Linked DNA regions of Nothobranchius furzeri. The protein of the gene in region 4 interacts with the protein of the main gene of each other region in a biochemical or structural test. Links are inferred from orthologs where the notes say so. Each region holds a gene or a part of one and is shown on either strand. Other genes may lie near its edges.

Region 1 (4,983 bases), on a different chromosome or scaffold from region 4:
ATGATAAGACAACGACTTTTATGTATTTCTGAAAGATCATACACAATTCTTGAAAGGGGAAAACTCCAAACAGCAGATTTAAATGCATTTTCTGGTCAGCAAAGAGGTGCAGAGTGCTGTCCCATGTGAAGTTGATAATCACTGAACCCCACTTTTGAAGGGATTGGTTAAAGTGTAAAAATCTGCTTAGTGTTGCTTTAATGTGAGGACACAGAATTTAATTTGACTTCTTTTTTTGTTGAAACTGTTGATTTTGAAAAAATCATCCACACTTGCAAGGTCCACACACACACACACACACACACACACACACACACACACACACACACACACACACACACACACACACACACACACACACACACACACAGACAATGATCCCATAAAACTAGGTGAAATTAGAAATGCAAACCAAACAACTGCTTTATCATAAATAGTTGTCATATATTTCTATGGCTTCAATTTCCAGGCGCTGTTCCTGATAATTATCAGATAACTTACATCCATGTATCATAATATTCTTTAGATTTCTTACAGTGTAGTCTAAATCACCAGAAATGGAACATGTTGCATAATATATTTAGACGTTTTCACGTTTCCATGTGTATTTCTCATTAAGTCTACTGTAATATGATGTAACCTCATTTGCATGATCCAGTAGGTGGTAAAGAGTGTCAAAGTTTATATTATTACTTTAAAAATATGTTTACAAAACAAAATTTTCAAGAAAGTGAAAAATCAATAAAATAAATATTTTAAACGGCTCCCTGTAAACCAGGTGTCAGAGATTATATCTACTGTGTATTTCTAAAGATCACACATTTATATACACTAAATGATTCACATGCAGCATGCTGCTAGCACTATATGAATATAGATATTCCCAACATAACCCAACCCAAACGTCAGATTTTCACCTGCTAACCATTTTTGTTTTGTTTCTTCAGAACACTGCTAGCCTGGAGCAGTTTGAGAGGTTGAAAACTCTGGGCACGGGCTCATTTGGTCGTGTTATGCTGGTGAAGCACAGAGAAACTGGCCAGCATTACGCCATGAAGATCCTCAATAAGCAGAAGGTCAGTCTGGGTCAGGAGCTGGCTGGGTTATGGGAAAGGGAGGTGGGGCAAGGCTTTTTAATAAGTCTGTCTATAGGGGGTGTAAAGGATTCTTGTGCAAGGACTCAAATCCAGGTGCAAGCCTGATCCAAAAGCAGGAAAATAGGTATCATCTGCAGGCATTGTCTTTATGCAGATCACACTCAATACAGCAGTTTTGAGCAAAACTGTGCATGCGTTTTCTTTTCATTATATCAATAAAATCCATAGATTTAAAGAAAGTACATGATTCCCCTTACTAGACTTAACCTGTGCAAGCAGTATATATCTGCCACATGACGTTCAATGAAAAGAAAAACTAAGTACTAAATAGCTGACTGTCAGTGTCTCCTGGTGAACTTGTGAACTGCCTCATCAAATGCACGCCGGTGTAGCCCACACAAACCTGAGGAGGATAAGCAGATGGATGAATTATCTGATGAATCTCTATTGTTTGATTGTAGATCCTTTAGGTGTGGGCTCTACAAAAATTTGATCCCATTTTCACTAAAATGAAAGGTGTTGAATTAATATAACAAAATACAATTTATAGTTTGTAATGGATGTTGTTTGAACCCTCTAATGAACCAAAGATATTTAAAAAATCAAATATTATTATAGCCTTTATTCAAAAAGTAGAAAATCTCAAGGGGTTTAGAATATATTTTTACAAGAAACTTGCCAAGAAGGCCGTATAAACGCAACAAATATAAAAAACTAAAACAAATATACAACTGATGCAAGTAATTAATTACACCATGTGCTTAAACTGGTCAGCAAGTACGTGAAACAAGCACACTGATCTAAATGGACCTAAATTTCTCCCAAATTACCCATTCCTTTGAAATCCTTTTTATTGTAATCCCAGGAAACAAAGGCAGCATATTTAAATGTTTTATTCAGAAATCACATCTGACTCTGGGGGTAAACTTTTATAAAATATCATGAGTGTAGGCTATATTGGTTTTGATTTTTTAATGCATTAAAACACTAGAAGGATCAAATCCAAGCGGCAGTTAAAAACCAGTAATGGCTTCCTCTCCCCACAGTGAAACAGCCAGCCTTTTCTATTTGCCAGGTGTGTTGATGTAAAGTAGATCACCAAAATTTCATAAAGGCACAAAAAGTGAAGTAGGAAACAAGATTTATTTCCAAAATGGAAACCTCCTTGAAGCTATAATGTAGCCTTTATGTCTAAGATTTAAATGAAAAGTTTCGATCAATAATAATACCTAATTATTTATGAGATGTGACCATGAATTTAGGTTAGGTTTGCATTTAACACCAACTTAAGTTGTGTTAACCATAACTGAGCAACATAAAAGGCAGATTGCAGAGGTTGGATGTTTTAATGAAGATGTAAATGAAGAGCAAAATGCTCAAAAGTTGAATTCAGCATTTTGATAAACTGTCGCAAATACCGTATTGGTCCAAATGTAGGACGACCCTTTCCAAGACTAATCTTCAGGAAAAAACTAAAAAATGACTTTTTAAATAAACTAATTTGAGAACAAATATACAGCAAAAATACTATTTTAATGCAAACTATCAGAACTTTGCTGACATGTGAAATCAAAAGTCAAATGAGGCTTTTATTTAGACACCCTCTGTCTTTCTGTACTCACTCACTCTGCTGCGGTCCTGGTGTACCATCAGATTGTTAAACCTACCGACTCCTCCCAGAACGTCATCCTCACTGCCATCCAATACATTCGTGCATGCAATGTTTAACGGCTTCTGCTTAAATGAGTTATGTGAATCTTAAAATTTGCAAAACTCTACCTTAGTATATTAACTGCCATTGACGACAAATGTCGTCATTTGTCTCTCTTACCCATGGTGTCCCACAAGGTTCTGTGCTGGGGCCCCTGCTCTTCCTCCTCTAGCTCTATCCTCTTCAGCACATCCTGAGCTCCTTCAAAGGAATCTCCTACCATCTTTATGCAGATGACACCCAACTGTACATCTCCTTTAAGCCCCATGAGATGTCTAAGCTGCAGCTGTTACACACCTGCTTAGACTCTATCAAAACCTGGATGGCTGGGAGCTTTCTTCAGCTGAATGAAGATGAGACTGAGATCCTCATCTGTGCCCCAAGCAAGCTGGTTCCCAAAGTCAGAGACTCTCTTGGTCAGCTTGCTTCCCACACCAAACCTTCTGTCAGGAATCTTGGCGTGACCTTTGACCCAGCTCTCACCCTGGATTCTCATGTCAGTTCTCTTGTTCGCTCTTCCTTCTTCCATCTCAGGAACGTTGCTAAGCTGAGTCCCATTCTGTCCCGCTCTGAACTTGAGACAGTTCTCCACACCTTCATCTCCTCACGCTTAGACTACTGTAACTCTTTTCACGTGTCTGAGCAGAACCTCCCTGAACCGTCTACAGGTGGTTCAGAACGCCTGTGCTCGGCTTCTGACCAAGTCCTCCAAATACACCCACATCACCCCGCTTCTCCTCCAGCTTCACTGGCTGCCAGTCAACTTCAGGGCTCATTTCAAGATCCTGGTTCTGGTCTATAGGGCCTTACATGGACAAGCACCATCTTACATTGGTGATCTTCTTAGTCCCTACACCCCCAGCAGGTCCCTGAGGTCCAGTGATCAAAGCCTACTGGTTGTGCAGCACCAGGCTAAAGACCAAAGGTGACAGATCATTTGCTGCTGTGGCCCCCAGACTCTGGAACTCTCTCCCCCTGAGCCTGAGATCAGTGGACTCAGTGGTCTCCTTTTAAAAGCAGCTGAAGACTCACTTGCTCAAGCTGGCTTTTGTATGACCTTCTTCACCACTCTCTCTTTATTCTGCTCTCCCCACCTATTCCATCTTCCTCAGGATCCACTGATTTCCCTCTTTCCTATTCACTCTCTCTCTTTCATAATTTTTTTTCTTTTAAATCCCAATTGCCTATTTTTGCTAATTTTAAATATATTTTTAAACATGTTCTAAATGCTTTTTTATATTTTTACATTTTTTTTTTGTTTTTGTGAAGCGCCTCGTGATTTTTATCTTGAGAGGCGCTATAGAAATTATATTTTCTTCTTCTTCATTTTAAATCCAACCGCTCGCTGCCATTGACGACTAAAGTAGTCATTTGCAATTTTTTACTGTGTGGGCATCGAAGCGAGCCCCCGCACCGTGAGAAAAAACATCCCAGCTCTAAAGCTGATCTTCATCTGCGTTCGTCACATGTCATGTGATCAGGAAGCAGAAAATCCATGTGTTAGGAGATCGTTTTGGGCCGCTGTTGTAAAACAAGTGAGGCACGAACCAGAAAAGCTTCTGCCGATCACAATTCGACAACGGATTATGAAAGAACAGATAATGCTCGAAACGCGTGGATTCTTCCTGATGTAAGAGGTGAGTCTGCTCTTTGTTTTGGTAGTTTTGGCGTTGACATCATCGTAGAGCGCAACGTTCTGTGACTCTTCAGATAAACAGTGAAAACGCTGGCAGTGAGAGGCTTTTCTAATCAGGAAACAGCTGGCCCCACTTTTGGTCCACTCTGCGCCACATCTCTTGTCTCCATTTTCTTTTCCTGTTGTGAACATACAGCCTGGCGCCCTCTGCTGTTACGGGCGTGTGATGGTTAGACCCCGATTATAAGACGCCCCCACATTTTAAAATTATTTTCAATGAAAAAAACCTTGTCTTCGGGTCAATACGGTATTATTTACAAAGGCATTAAAGAGAAGTTGCCCTAGTATGGAACCCTGAGGAACTCCTTAGAGGCTCTTTTCCACTAACATCTTGACGGTTCGGGTGGTTTTCTTTAAAACTGAGAAACGGCTCTAGTGGGTGGGGTTGTGGGCGGACCCCAACATTATAAATTTAGCTCAACGCGATCTGTACCAACACATCTTTTATCATTGTCCTCAAAGATAAATCTGACCTTTTT
Region 2 (4,983 bases), on a different chromosome or scaffold from region 4:
AGGACCACCATCACACAGTTTATAAACGTACAAGGACCGTCCACCATCACACAGTTTATAAACGTACAAGGACCACCATCACATAGTTTATAAAACTACAAGGACCACCATCACAGTTTATAAACTACAAGGACCACCATCACACAGTTTATAAACGTACAAGGACCACCATCACACAGTTTATAAACGTACAAGGACCACCATCACATAGTTTATAAAACTACAAGGACCACCATCACAGTTTATAAACTACAAGGACCACCATCACACAGTTTATAAAACTACAAGGACCACCATCACACAGTTTATAAAACTACAAGGACCACCATCACACAGTTTATAAAACTACAAGGACCACCATCACAGTTTATAAACTACAAGGACCACCATCACAGTTTATAATCTACAAGGACCACCATCACAGTTTCTAAACTACAAGGACCACCATCACACAGTTTACAAAACTACAAAGACCACCATAACACAGTTTATAAAACTACAAGGACCACCATCACATAGTTTATAAAACTACAAGGACCACCATCACACAGTTTATAAACGTACAAGGACCACCATCACATAGTTTCTAAACTACAAAGACCACCATCACAGTTTATAAACGTACAAGCACCACCCTCACACAGTTTATAAAACTACAAGGACCACCATCACAGTTTATAAACTACAAGGACCACCATCACAGTTTATAATCTACAAGGACCACCATCATAGTTTCTAAACTACAAGGACCACCATCACACAGTTTACAAAACTACAAAGACCACCATAACACAGTTTATAAAACTACAAGGACCACCATCACATAGTTTATAAAACTACAAGGACCACCATCACACAGTTTATAAACGTACAAGGACCACCATCACATAGTTTCTAAACTACAAAGACCACCATCACAGTTTATAAACGTACAAGCACCACCCTCACACAGTTTATAAAACTACAAGGACCACCATCACACAGTTTATAAATGTACAAGGACCACCATCACACAGTTTATAAACGTACAAGGACCACCATCACACAGTTTATAAACGTACAAGGACCACCATCACACAGTTTATAAACGTACAAGGACCACCATCACACAGTTTATAAACGTACAAGGACCACCATCACACAGTTTATAAACGTACAAGCACCACCATCACACAGTTTATAAAACTACAAGGACCACCATCACACAGTTTATAATCGTACAAGGACCACCATCACACAGTTTATAAACGTACAAGCACCACCCTCACACAGTTTATAAACGTACAAGGACCACCATCACACTGTTTATAAACGTACAAGGACCGTCCACCATCACACAGTTTATAAACGTACAAGGACCGTCCACCATCACACAGTTTATAAACGTACAAGGACCACCATCACATAGTTTATAAAACTACAAGGACCACCATCACAGTTTATAAACTACAAGGACCACCATCACACAGTTTATAAAACTACAAGGACCACCATCACACAGTTTATAAAACTACAAGGACCACCATCACAGTTTATAATCTACAAGGACCACCATCACACAGTTTTTTAACTACAAGGACCACCATCACACAGTTTATTAAACTACAAGGACCACCATCACACAGTTTATAAAACTACAAGGACCACCATCACATTTTATAAACTACAAGGACCACCATCACAGTTTATAATCTACAAGGACCACCATCACACAGTTTCTAAACTACAAGGACCACCATCACACAGTTTACAAAACTACAAAGACCACCATCACACAGTTTATAAAACTACAAGGACCACCATCACATAGTTTCTAAAACTACAAGGACCACCATCACACAGTTTATAAAACTACAAGGACCACCATCACATAGTTTCTAAACTACAAAGACCACCATCACAGTTTATAAACGTACAAGGACCACCCTCACACAGTTTATAAACGTACAAGGACCACCATCACACAGTTTATAAACGTACAAGGACCACCCTCACACAGTTTATAAACGTACAAGGACCACCCTCACACAGTTTATAAACGTACAAGGACCACCCTCACACAGTTTATAAACGTACAAGGACCACCATCACACAGTTTATAAACGTACAAGGACCACCATCACACAGTTTATAAACGTACAAGGACCACCATCACACAGTTTATAAACGTACAAGGACCACCATCACACAGTTTATAAACGTACAAGGACCACCATCACACAGTTTATAAACGTACAAGGACCACCATCACACAGTTTATAAACGTACAAGGACCACCATCACACAGTTTATAAACGACAAGGACCACCATCACACAGTTTATAAACGTACAAGGACCACCATCACACAGTTTATAAACGTACAAGGACCACCATCACACAGTTTATAAATGTACAAGGACCACCATCACACAGTTTATAAACGTACAAGGACCACCATCACACAGTTTATAAACGTACAAGGACCACCATCACACAGTTTATAAACGTACAAGGACCACCATCACACAGTTTATAAACGTACAAGGACCACCATCACACAGTTTATAAACGTACAAGGACCACCATCACACAGTTTATAAACGTACAAGGACCACCATCACACAGTTTATAAACGTACAAGGACCACCATCACACAGTTTATAAACGTACAAGGACCACCATCACACAGTTTATAAACGTACAAGGACCACCATCACACAGTTTATAAAACTACAAGGACCACCATCACACAGTTTATAAACGTACAAGGACCACCATCACACAGTTTATAAACGTACAAGGACCACCATCACACAGTTTATAAACGTACAAGGACCACCATCACACAGTTGGTCCAGAGGAGAAAGGAGAGGAACAGGAGTACCTGAAGTTGGTTTAGTTAGTGAAACACCTCAATACTAAAATCAGGGTTCATACACTTTTTTAGCTATGGTTTTCCATAACTTTTCCAGGTTTTTCATGACCGTACGAACCCTGTAAAATACAAACTGTTGTAGGTATTGAAGTTTGTTTAAGTTTCATCTGTAGTTTATAACACATGGTCTCCTCATCAGATTTATTCCAGAGGGATTAGAAGAGGATTAGGAGTCCATGGAGCTGGCTTTGTTAAAGGTTTTCATGTAGAAGAACTTTGTACAACACTACGATGATAAAATACATTATTTATCATCATATTTATCAAATATGGTTATAAATTGGGAAAATATATATTTCATTAATATAAAAAGGCATTTAAATTATTATTAAACACTCACAAGTATCAGAAATTTGTACCGCTAAGTACCGGTATCGATTTGCAGGTACCGGGATTGGTACCTTATCGACTCAAATGCCAAAGGTACCCATGCCTAATTACCATCAACTGTAAGAAGATGAACCCCACAGAGACGTGATGCGGTCTTACCGTGGTGGTGCTGGAGTTGTACGCATCAGTGTTTTTATCTGCAGGAAAAGAAAAGACGAGCTCGTTTACTTTTATGTCAGGAGTGATTTTACCAACATTTACCAACATTTACCAACATTTACCAACATTTACCAATTTTACCCAACAGTTTCAACAGTTTCAACAGACAAAAAAAATCATGTTATTTGTTGTGATCAGCTTCATAAACCCTGAGCTGTAACGTGGATCCATTCCTCAAACTTGATGTTGAATTCTGTTTGAGGGTTAGGTCCAGCATCTGAGCTGCTGCTGGTTGTAGAAACTAAAATATTTTCTCCTGATGACGAATCGTCAACTCGCCTGTAAAGCTCATGTACTTCTGACAGTTGGCCTTTTCCTTAGAGTCGTAGAACTTCAGAACGTCCAGGACCGCTTGAGGGTTCTTCTTCTGCTCCAGTTTAGTGATGTTGGACGTCTGCAGCAGCCGGGCCCACTGCTCCGGCATCCCCTGTCACAAACACGCACAAATGCACACACATACGGACGCACATGCGCAGTTTACCTTCAGTTAGAAATACGTGTCACATTAAATGTTCCTGTTCTCTTATCTGGCAGGGTCAGTTCTCCAGCCATCCACCGTCAGCTCATGTTTAATCACCCGTTTTTATTTAAAGATTATTTGCATGTGTTTTGTATAGAAGTTAACTGTGACCCAGAACAATAAAAGAAGACAACACAAACACACTCACAGTGAACTCCCCAGTGACAGCATCAAAACCGACGTGGATGGTGTGTTCAAAGTCAGAAGGAAGAGAAATCTCTGGACGCTCCTTCTTCCGATAAGCTACACATAAAAGAAAACATTAAACTAAAGCATCATGTAGTTAAGCCTAAACACTGAGCGTTTATAATAAATGTCATATTGAATTTCTTACGACAGAAAATCCTTTGGTTGATGAGGTTCAAATAAATAATGATCAGGACACAATAAGAACAAGAAAAGATGGTACGGAGCGTTTTGTGTAGCAACAGCCGAGCTGACCAAAGTTCTTCACAGAAAATATCTAGTTTAAAACCAAGAAGGAACAAAGGGCCAAAATGAATGAGACAATAAAAGCAGTAATGAATCACAAGGGTCAGCTTTTACCATCGAACTGACAGGAACCTTTCATTCACGCCAGAGCTGCAAAGCCAAGGTTACACCAGCTGGAGGACCCAGACGCACCTCCTAACCTCCCAAAATAGCACACCTCAACTCTTATGACCGCATCACTTCAGCAGGTGGTTTCACTTACATGTGGATAACCTTTTAGATGCTTTTTCTACTGACTTTTAAATGGTCTTAATTATACGGGTTTTAGCCAACATGTCACTCAGCCAACTCACAACAGAGGGCACACCCTAGACTTGGTTTGTCCACCCGTGTGCTCTGTAGACTTGGCTGACTATGATCATTACTGCGTGTTTTTTACCGACCGGGAGTCCTCTGAGGAGACCGTCAGGAAATTCTGAAGTGCATTTTTTTCCTCCACCTGACTCAATCCTCATATAAACCCTCTGATCTCCATTAAGGTAGCGCGACTCGGGTTGCGAATGACC
Region 3 (5,404 bases), on a different chromosome or scaffold from region 4:
GCAGATCCGAGAGCGGCTTTGCGCTGCTGTAGGATTAGCATATCTGGCTGGAAGGTTTTGTGCTCTTTAACCGATCTGGACACAAAGCCGCTCAGCCACACACGGCTAAAGAGGAAGACCAGTAACAAATACGAGCCCACTAGCTACTTCCCTTAAACAATGTAGTTTCACTCTTTGCTGTTTACCACACAGCTAAGGCATGTAATGGCTTCTGGTGCTGAATGTGTGGCAGTAGTCCAACGTAAACAAGGGTGCTTGACTGAGGAGAGTTAATGAGGCCACCTCACCCACACCCACACCCTCACCCGAAGATGTGGCCGACAGAAGCATCCACTGCTGGTTTGGTCGTTTTTAGCTAAAGGCTCGATTGTCATCCTGTCACAGCTCAGCCCACCGAAATTCCACCCCCCACGCCTTCAACTACGCCACATCGTACCAACCCACAGGCGGCGGTCTCTCCCAACGGCAGCGCTCCACCTCCACGCCCAACGTCCACATGGTCAGCACCGCCCTGCCCGTGGACAGCACCACCATCGAGGTAACAAGTTCTGGCTGCAGCTCCTAAAATCCCTCATGTCCTAAAATGTCGTCCTCCTCCTCTCATCTGAGGCCTTCCTGCTGTCCACTCCTGCTTCAGACCTTTATTATTATTATTATTATTATTATTATTACTACACCTGAGCACAATCTCTCTTCCTCTGACCACATTTTATTTCAGCATGTTTTAAATGCTCTTGCACATTTCCCACACTTCCGCTTGTTCACTTCCACTTTAGGCGTTATCTCCATCCTTAGTCTTGCACAACCACCTCACAAGTGGTTTCATAATCCACCTTTTTTCTGCTCAGGTAGGAATCCACATGTTCTTCCTCTCTTTCCTTGACTCTGTCCCCTTTTGTCCCTCCTGTCTCCCTGTGGGTCTGTTGTTTTGTACCCTACTGGAGAGCAGCTAGACTGCTTGAATACCTCTCCCGTCTTCTGGTGCCACAGATTCTGGCTGAAGAGGAAAGTAGGTATTGTGCACTTCTCCCAGGCTTTTGTGGAGACCTCACCTGTGAGTCCAGGACAGGTTAGAAAGCAGAGACTCTGTGTGAAGCGCATGTCTGCATTCTCATCTTTAGTCAATGCAGCCGTCAAATCATCAGTGGTAGCACGTCACATTTGTGCTAATTTGATCATTTATTCTAATATAATGTTTTTTTTCCTATAGCATGTGATGCGTGATCATGACTCTGGTAAGTACCCGTTCAGCCGTCTTCCTGGTTTCTAATCATGCACATGTAATAGTCATTTAGAAGGAAGTGATGTCCAATCAGACTCGGTGAGACACCCGTAGCTGTCCACAGTGCTTTAGCATTGGTGATCATGTTGGCGTAAGAGAAGGGATGTTAAAACCAAAACAAAGCTTTGAGAAATAAATCTGTTGATTTGGAAGTAGGCTGGTGGGTTTGTTGGGTGTTTGCCGAGACTCGACGCCCCCAAACTTCCGAATTTACTAATAGAAAGACTCCAGGTCATCAGGTGTTCTGCGTTACCCCAACCGTTAGCTGCAGAACGACCCACGGGGTCGTAACAGTGCTAATAATCACTGAGCTGTGACTTAAGTCAAAATGATGAGTGACAGAAGTAGTGGAAGGAAGTTTGATGCAGTATGAAAATTACAAAATAAAGAATAAATAACTTATTTGTTTTCACAGCGGGAAATTCCCCCAACCAGAGCCCCACAGGCTGGTCCCAGTCCAAAGCTCCCCCGCCTCACCAGCGTGAAAAAATCACCTCCTTCAGCAATCAGGAGAAAAACAAAATTGTGAGTCAAAATTTCTGACGTGTGTGTTAGCCGAAGCTTCTGTGTTCAGACCTTTTTGCTTTCTCTTCTCGCAGAGGCCCCGGGATAAGAGAGACTCCAGTTATTACTGGGAGATCGAGGCCAGCGAGGTGTGTCTGCAGTCCCGCATCGGTTCGGGCTCTTTTGGAACAGTGTTCAAAGGAAAATGGCACGGTAGGAATGCAGTTAGCATGAGTCAGAACCTCTCACACGGTGGCTTAGATGTTGACAGATGTGTTCAGGAGTTCTTCGACTCATTAAACGCGTGAAAAACTACAGCTTCATGCATCATTTCTTGTCAAACTAGCCCTGTAGGGCCAAAATAACCCAAAGTTGTGCATTTTTGTTGCAGGTGACGTAGCAGTGAAGATTTTAAAGGTCACCAACCCCACACCGGAGCAGTTCCAGGCGTTCAGAAACGAAGTGGCAGTCCTAAGGTTACAGCTAGTTCCACACCAGCTAACTGTTAAAATCTTAGTTTAGCTACAAAATAATGATTTCCTCTTCCCCTCCACCCCTGGTTGCAGGAAAACGCGACATGTGAACATCCTTTTGTTTATGGGCTACATGACGAAGGACAACCTGGCCATCGTGACCCAGTGGTGCGAGGGCAGCAGCTTGTACAAACACATTCACGTCCTGGAGACCAACTTCAAGATGATCCAGCTCATCGATATTGCCAGGCAGACGGCTCAGGGCATGGAGTAAGCTTAAAAAACAACGGCAAGTTACAGATAAATCAGATGATGATAGCTTTGTCCCTCTTTTCCAGCTATTTACATGCTAAGAGCATCATTCATCGTGACATGAAGTCCAACAGTATCCTTTCTCTGAACGTCTCACAGTGAGTGAATGAAAACGTCCCACTGTGTGTTTGGTTATGATTCCCTGACCTCAGCGCAGACATCTTCCTGCATGAGGGGCTGACGGTGAAAATCGGGGATTTTGGTCTCGCCACGGTGAAGGCTAGGTGGAGCGGCTCCCAGCAGGTGGAGCAGCCTTCTGGATCCATTCTTTGGATGGTGAGACACCTGCTACTCGAACCCTGCTGGGACCGTGACGGTGAACGAGGAAGACTCTCCGTGATGATTCTGTTGCTATTGTCATTGCCAGGCACCCGAGGTTATCCGGATGCAGGATAATAATCCCTACAGCTTCCAGTCTGATGTGTATTCCTATGGAATTGTTCTCTTTGAGCTGATGACGGGAGAGCTCCCGTACTCGCAGACGGCGAACAGAGATCAGGTAAACACCTTAGTCCCTGTGTAAGCCCACAGTCGGACGTGTGTCAGAGCTCAGGCCCACCGTGGAGCTCAGGAGGGGTGAAGGGGGTTGTGGAGCTGGCCTAAGGCCTGCCATGCAGCCCAGGCGGACTCTGTGGAGCCGCTGGCCTAATTTTAGTCCTCGTAACACAACCCTGTGGGAGGGAAGAGCATTAAAGCACGCGTGTAGATGTGTTGGTCCTCTCAGGCCACGAGGTCCAGCCTGACTTATGGAGATGAGACGAAAGCTCTGGACCACTTTCCAGGTACTTTGTTCTGCTGAGCTGCCTCTGGTGTGCTAGGTGTCTGACACCGTAGACGCACGCACTGTAACTAAAGAATGACTGCTGATTCACCATCGATCAGCTGTCCTCCCACCCTTGCACTGACCTCTGCTGGATTTTTAAACGGGATCGTTTTCCTCCTGGCTCCATATTTATGTCTCCTGTTTTCTGTTCAGATCATTTTCATGGTGGGAAGAGGCTATTTGTCCCCAGACCTCAGTAAGCTCTACAAGAACTGTCCCAAAGCCATGAAAAGGTTGGTGGCCGACTGCATCAAGAAGCTCAAGGATGAAAGGCCGCTCTTTCCTCAGGTGAGCCTCTGGTTCCAGCTGTTGGCAGGATTACAGATGTTCCTGTTGAGTTCATTCATTCATTTACTCCCATAGATCCTGTCCTCCATCGAGCTCCTCCAGCACGCTCTCCCCAAGATAAACCGCAGCGCCTCAGAGCCGTCCCTGCACAGAGCCTCACAGGCCGAGGACATCAACACGTGCACGCTGACCTCCACCAGACTGCCTGTTTTAAGCCTGTTTTAAGCTCTTGGAGAATATCGGCACCTCCTCCTCCTCCTCCTCTCCTCACACGACGGCTCTTCCTGTTCACAAATACACAATCTTAGATGCCCTACAGACATTTGTCATTTCAGACATGCTAAATAATAAATGTGTGAGTTAAAGAGAAGAGAAATCCTTAGAGGGTCAGGATATGGTACATCCCCCTATTAGGAGGCAGAACGAGGCTTCGTGTTGGTGAATTATTTGTAAATAAATAAATACACCCGTGCTACCTAAGATGACGGATGGACGCTGAAGGAGGCTCAGGAGGCACACGCCATCCTTTTGATCAAACCTCCCTGGTTTACGACGAAGAGGACTCTTATTTTTTTTAAGCTTACCTGCCTTAAGAGGAAACAACCTCAACTGTATTTCTGCACAATCTCACCTCCTCTGGTTATCACAAAGCCGTTGGAAGTTGTCCATCTTATTGCACAGTAGCAGATTACGTCTTAAATCGTAACGGACTAGACTTGGGATTTTTGTTTGTGTAACTTTACTTTTGGGTTTTGGATCCGGTCTGTCAGCGAGCGTCTCACTAGACCGAACCCTCCGCGTCGCGAGCTGGACGCTCGGCAGGTGTCTTAAATATTTAAAGTGACTTGGGAACTAATTTGTTTTGTTATGTCACACTGATGAGGTTGAATGTTTTATTTGCTATTTTAATAAAGTTAAGTGAAAAAGCCAAGAACAGATTCTTCTTGAAAACAGATGTGTGTGTGTGTGTTCATTACATGAGCCTTCATTACATGATATTTGTGGGTGAAAACTGATTGTAATCTATTCTTGTGAGCTGAAGTCCCACTCGTGTGCACAGTCTTTTATCAGGATGTAGTGTTTGTTGTGGCGCCATGGCAACAAGGTGCAGCCTCGCAGGAGATCCAGCCTACTCAGGGCTTCCACCACTGGCTGATCCCTCACCGACGGGCTGAGTGCAACAGCAGGACAGGGACTTGGCCAGGGGCAGAGGACAGTTGTACTTTGTTGATACTAAAACATTCAGCAGACTGAGGCTGTGGGACATCACAGCTCAACGTTCAGGTTTACAGTAAATACACAAATGTTTGTGTTTAGCTAAATATGGCAATGACTTAAAAAATCTTTCACAGACAAGAATTTGGCCAGATGCTTTAAAAAAAGGGCTTAATTCTTGTGAATCTTTCACACAGACGGAGAGTTCATGTTGCATCAAAAGTGTTTCTTTCTGAAACTGCCCTGCTAAAGGTTTATCTGTTCTATATCTACATCCTGACTGACTCGATGCCCTACTTCGTTGTCATGCAACGTCTTCATCTTTTTTGTTCTGATTTGAGTTTTTGCAAAAGGAAAAGTTTTCAAAACAAAATTGGTTTAGCTTAAAATAAACGTTCAGGTTGCTTACAGGTTAAAATAAGTACAAAACCTGGATTATTAGAAATTAATAATGAACATTTTTTGAACACAGATTCCGTGAGTGGAAAGCAAATTACTGACGCTTCA
Region 4 (3,703 bases):
ACTGTAGCAGTAGAAACAGGTTTTGCTCTGCAGGTCGGTTAATAAACAACGGGTTCGATGGATCTCTACAGCCACTATAACGGATGATTCTCAGAGGTCTTTTCTGTAAAATAAATAAGGGTTGTGTATAGCTTTTGTATGTCGCTCCCCAGATTTCTACACAATAAATCGAGTATGGAACAATCAGTGAATTGTACAATGCCAACAAACCAGAATTAGTCAGTAAAAACTTGACTCTATGTAATACTCCTAAGGATTTGGCAATTTTACCTTTTATGTAACTAATACGGGATTTCCATGACAAGTCTTCAATAAGAACTCCAAGAAATTTAGTTTCTTTTACTCTTTGAATTTCAATCCCATCTATTTCCAATGACACATCACTGTTCTTTTTATCATTAAACAGAATAAAATTAGTTTTATTAAGATTCAGTGTCAATGTATTTGTATCAAACCGGTTTTTAATTTTAATCAGTTCATCATTTATCACTTTAGCCACCTCCTCAATATTTGATCCTGAATAAAACAGTGTTGTATCATCTGCAAATAGAATGGTACCGAGTGTCTTAGATGCATTTACCAAGTCGTTAAACAAAATGAACAGTTTTGGTTCGAGGACCGACCCTTGTGGCACTCCACAATTAATTTCACATAGTTTTGATTTATGGTCCTCTATCTGAACAAACTGTTTCCTTTTTTCTAAATAAGTTTTAACCCACTGATGAGACACGCCTCTTAATCCATACGGACTTAATTTTCGAAGTAACCTTGAGTGATCAATGACGTCAAAAGCTTTTTTCAAATCAATGAAAACATTAACAAAGTCGTTTTTATTGTCAACTGCTGTTGATATTTTACCCACTAATTCCATTATTGCCATTGCTGTGGAATGTTTAGTTCTAAACTCACATTGTTTATTGTTTAAAATATTTTTTTCGATGAATTTATTCAACCTTGATACAAATACTTTTTCCAATATTTTAGAAAACTGTGGAAGCAGTGACACCGGCCTGTAATTATTGAAACTACGTTTATCACCACTCTTACACAAAGGAATGACTTTTGCTGTTTTCATTGCGTCAGGAAATTTCCAGTAGAAAGTGATAGATTACAAATGTAAGTGAATGGTTCAATGACGGATTCCATGATGGTTTTAACAGTTATCATGTCCAGATCCTGATAATCGGTTGATCGTTTGTTTCCACAGTTTTTTACAGTGTTTCGTATTTCTTCTTTATCTACTTTGCCAAGTACAATACTATTGACAGTACTAATCATTGTGGTCAATCTCGCCTGCTGCTGCACGTTTGGTTCCTGCCCCGCTCCTTCTATAAGTCGAGGCACATGCGCTGTAGTGCCACTCCAGCTCAGCGTTCGTGCAGAATCACCGGAGAAACAACACATCATGGCAAATCGACAACGGAGCTCGGAGAATACATCATTTATTTTGCTAAGGTCCCCCCAAAGCCCTCATACATACGAATAAACAGCATCGTGTAAGAATAATAGCTGTAAAACACAGTAGTTTAGCTCTGTTGGACAACCAGAGGTGCGCGTTCACGGACGAGAGGCGTTGGTTTTAACCATAATTAAGGAAGCAGGAAGACCGGCTGATGATGCAATACGTTTTTCCACCTCTAGATGGTGCCTTCTGACACAAAACTCCAGATTTCAGCTTTAAGCCCCCAGAAAACCCGAGGAAACAGGACGCCTTAACATCCTCAATCTGTACACTTATATAACTAACTTGTGTTTTATTGTTAATCCTTGTTGTTTTTATAGTCCTGTTGCTGCGGCGGGGTGGGAAGTTCCCCGTGTAGGGAGCAGTAAAGGGTTATCTTCATTAATGGTGGTGTAAAGGTTTCGACGATGACACACACTTTGTTCTCGGCTGGTTTAGACCGGACATGAGCTCATCTGTCCTCTAGGCAGTTAACCATTTACCCAAACCAGTTCCTCTGTCCCAACAAGGACTCGCCTAGAGCTACAGCCCAGAGGCGTCTCCTCACCCCTTTGTCCAGCAGGCTGTCGAACTCGTCGCTCATCCTTCGGAGCTGCCGGCCGTACTTCTTGGCGGCCCACAGGGCTGGAGGAGCAGACTTTGATCTCCCTCTGAATGGGAACCCCTCTGTAGGGGTCCCAGGCTCCTCCTCCGCCACCCTGGCCAGGAGATCCTCATCTCTGGAGACGTTGGAAACGTGGGACTCCGAGTTGAGCCTGATCCGACCATTCACTGCACGAGAGAATGGATGGTGAAAACACGGAAAGACAACATGTCCACGCACCAACCAAAGAACCGGTTTCACTTTGTAACACAAGACATTTATTTTATTTACTTACTGCACACAGAGAGGGAAAACCTTGCCTGAATCTCTAGTGATGTCCTTAGTGTATTTGTTTGAAGAACAGAAACATGCTTGCAGTAATAATACTGTGGAGCCTCGCTCCGCTAATCCCTTGTGTTTGCTTACACGGGAGCCTGAGCTCAGGCAGGTTGGGGTGTGGGCGAACGCTCTCCTCTTGACCCGCTGACGGCTGCTTCTTCTCTCCCTCCTCCACCTCTTCCGACGGCTCCGAGTCACTGTCTGAGATCGTGAAGTGGGCAGCCATCGTAACATCTGGAGGAGAAATGACGTGCTTCGCATGACTCAAGGAGAATCACTTTAACCTTATAGGCTATCATCATTTTACAGGATCTGTACCCGTTAAGGCTAAATATGCTAAATACCAGCTTGATTTGTGCAGATCTGTAGATTAGCCATCGCCAAGCGCTAATTCATGCTAGACGGAAATCCCACGGGGAAGTTTTTACTTCCAGAATCATCATTTTGAATGAGGCTGCACGATATTAGGAAAACCTGCGATATTCGATGACAATGATTAATATTGCGATGACGATATCACTTGCGATAAATAAAAACTTAACTCAGGAACAAAAATAATCAAAAACAAAGACATAAAAAAGTCATAAAGATGAGAAAAGCAAAAGATGGGAGGAAAGGGAAAAGAAAATGAATAAGAAAAGGCAATCGGTGGATCCCGGGAAAAGCAGAATCAGTAGAAAGAGCAGAACTAAGCTAACTCAGGTGTTTGCTAGCCATTAAAATTAGGTGCCGTCCGCCTCGGGGTCGGGACTCTGACCTATGAGAACCCATCCAGTTGGCCAAATGGGTGAAGTGTTCTCTTTGCTGTGTTAAAAAAACATCAGGCTTCTGTTTGACTGACAGCATGCATCATGTGTAGCAAACATTTGAGCTGACGATATTTATCTGATCTTTGCGATATGCACATTGTGCATGCTGATATCACAATAACGATATATTTATGATATATTGTGCAGCCCTAATTTTGAAGGTAATCATTATTAAAATAAAAATTAGGATGAATTTTTATTAGAGTTGGACCAATGTGAGCTTTTCTGGTGCCGATACCAATATGAAGAGGTGATGATCAGCCGATAGCTGATTAGTCCCATCGATCTGATAACCATTTAAGAAAACGTAACTGTTGAATCTTAATTTATTGCAATTTACAGAAACAAAATTAATAATTTTTTTATAAAGAATTCAACATCAAACAGATAAATAAAAGGTATCAGTTGACAAACATGTTTTAGAGCATTCAGGAACATAAATAAAATTTGGCGCTAACGCCGTGCTGCCCGTGGACGCGCCTGACTTTAAATCAGCTCTACTGAACAGGT

Evidence for each region. The genes of interacting proteins can lie anywhere in the genome.
Region 1: the proteins of badb (region 4) and prkacab form a complex in vitro, tested with the Homo sapiens proteins (2 studies listed by BioGRID, with this or other methods). The link is inferred for Nothobranchius furzeri from reciprocal best matches to the Homo sapiens genes BAD and PRKACA.
Region 2: of the proteins of badb (region 4) and pak1, one has a biochemical effect on the other in vitro, tested with the Homo sapiens proteins (3 studies listed by BioGRID). The link is inferred for Nothobranchius furzeri from reciprocal best matches to the Homo sapiens genes BAD and PAK1.
Region 3: of the proteins of badb (region 4) and raf1a, one has a biochemical effect on the other in vitro, tested with the Homo sapiens proteins (2 studies listed by BioGRID). The link is inferred for Nothobranchius furzeri from reciprocal best matches to the Homo sapiens genes BAD and RAF1.

The regions. Positions count from the first base shown.
Region 1 is NC_091744.1:6,135,570-6,140,552, reverse strand, and holds part of prkacab (cAMP-dependent protein kinase catalytic subunit alpha), read left to right. Parts: intron 1-947; coding exon 948-1,076; intron 1,077-4,983.
Region 2 is NC_091753.1:60,596,406-60,601,388, reverse strand, and holds part of pak1 (serine/threonine-protein kinase PAK 1), read right to left. Parts: intron 4,229-4,983; coding exon 4,134-4,228; intron 3,893-4,133; coding exon 3,745-3,892; intron 3,444-3,744; coding exon 3,406-3,443; intron 1-3,405. UniProt on the Homo sapiens protein: Protein kinase involved in intracellular signaling pathways downstream of integrins and receptor-type kinases that plays an important role in cytoskeleton dynamics, in cell adhesion, migration, proliferation, apoptosis, mitosis, and in vesicle-mediated transport processes.
Region 3 is NC_091755.1:58,346,635-58,352,038, forward strand, and holds the end of raf1a (raf-1 proto-oncogene, serine/threonine kinase a), read left to right. Parts: intron 1-384; coding exon 385-538; intron 539-949; coding exon 950-1,069; intron 1,070-1,210; coding exon 1,211-1,235; intron 1,236-1,697; coding exon 1,698-1,807; intron 1,808-1,881; coding exon 1,882-1,999; intron 2,000-2,177; coding exon 2,178-2,262; intron 2,263-2,352; coding exon 2,353-2,529; intron 2,530-2,597; coding exon 2,598-2,644; intron 2,645-2,728; coding exon 2,729-2,847; intron 2,848-2,938; coding exon 2,939-3,070; intron 3,071-3,547; coding exon 3,548-3,682; intron 3,683-3,757; coding exon 3,758-3,907; 3' UTR 3,908-4,131; downstream 4,132-5,404. UniProt on the Homo sapiens protein: Serine/threonine-protein kinase that acts as a regulatory link between the membrane-associated Ras GTPases and the MAPK/ERK cascade, and this critical regulatory link functions as a switch determining cell fate decisions including proliferation, differentiation, apoptosis, survival and oncogenic transformation.
Region 4 is NC_091754.1:60,872,977-60,876,679, reverse strand, and holds part of badb (BCL2 associated agonist of cell death b), read right to left. Parts: intron 2,619-3,703; 5' UTR 2,611-2,618; coding exon 2,472-2,610; intron 2,234-2,471; coding exon 2,010-2,233; intron 1-2,009. UniProt on the Homo sapiens protein: Promotes cell death. Successfully competes for the binding to Bcl-X(L), Bcl-2 and Bcl-W, thereby affecting the level of heterodimerization of these proteins with BAX. Can reverse the death repressor activity of Bcl-X(L), but not that of Bcl-2.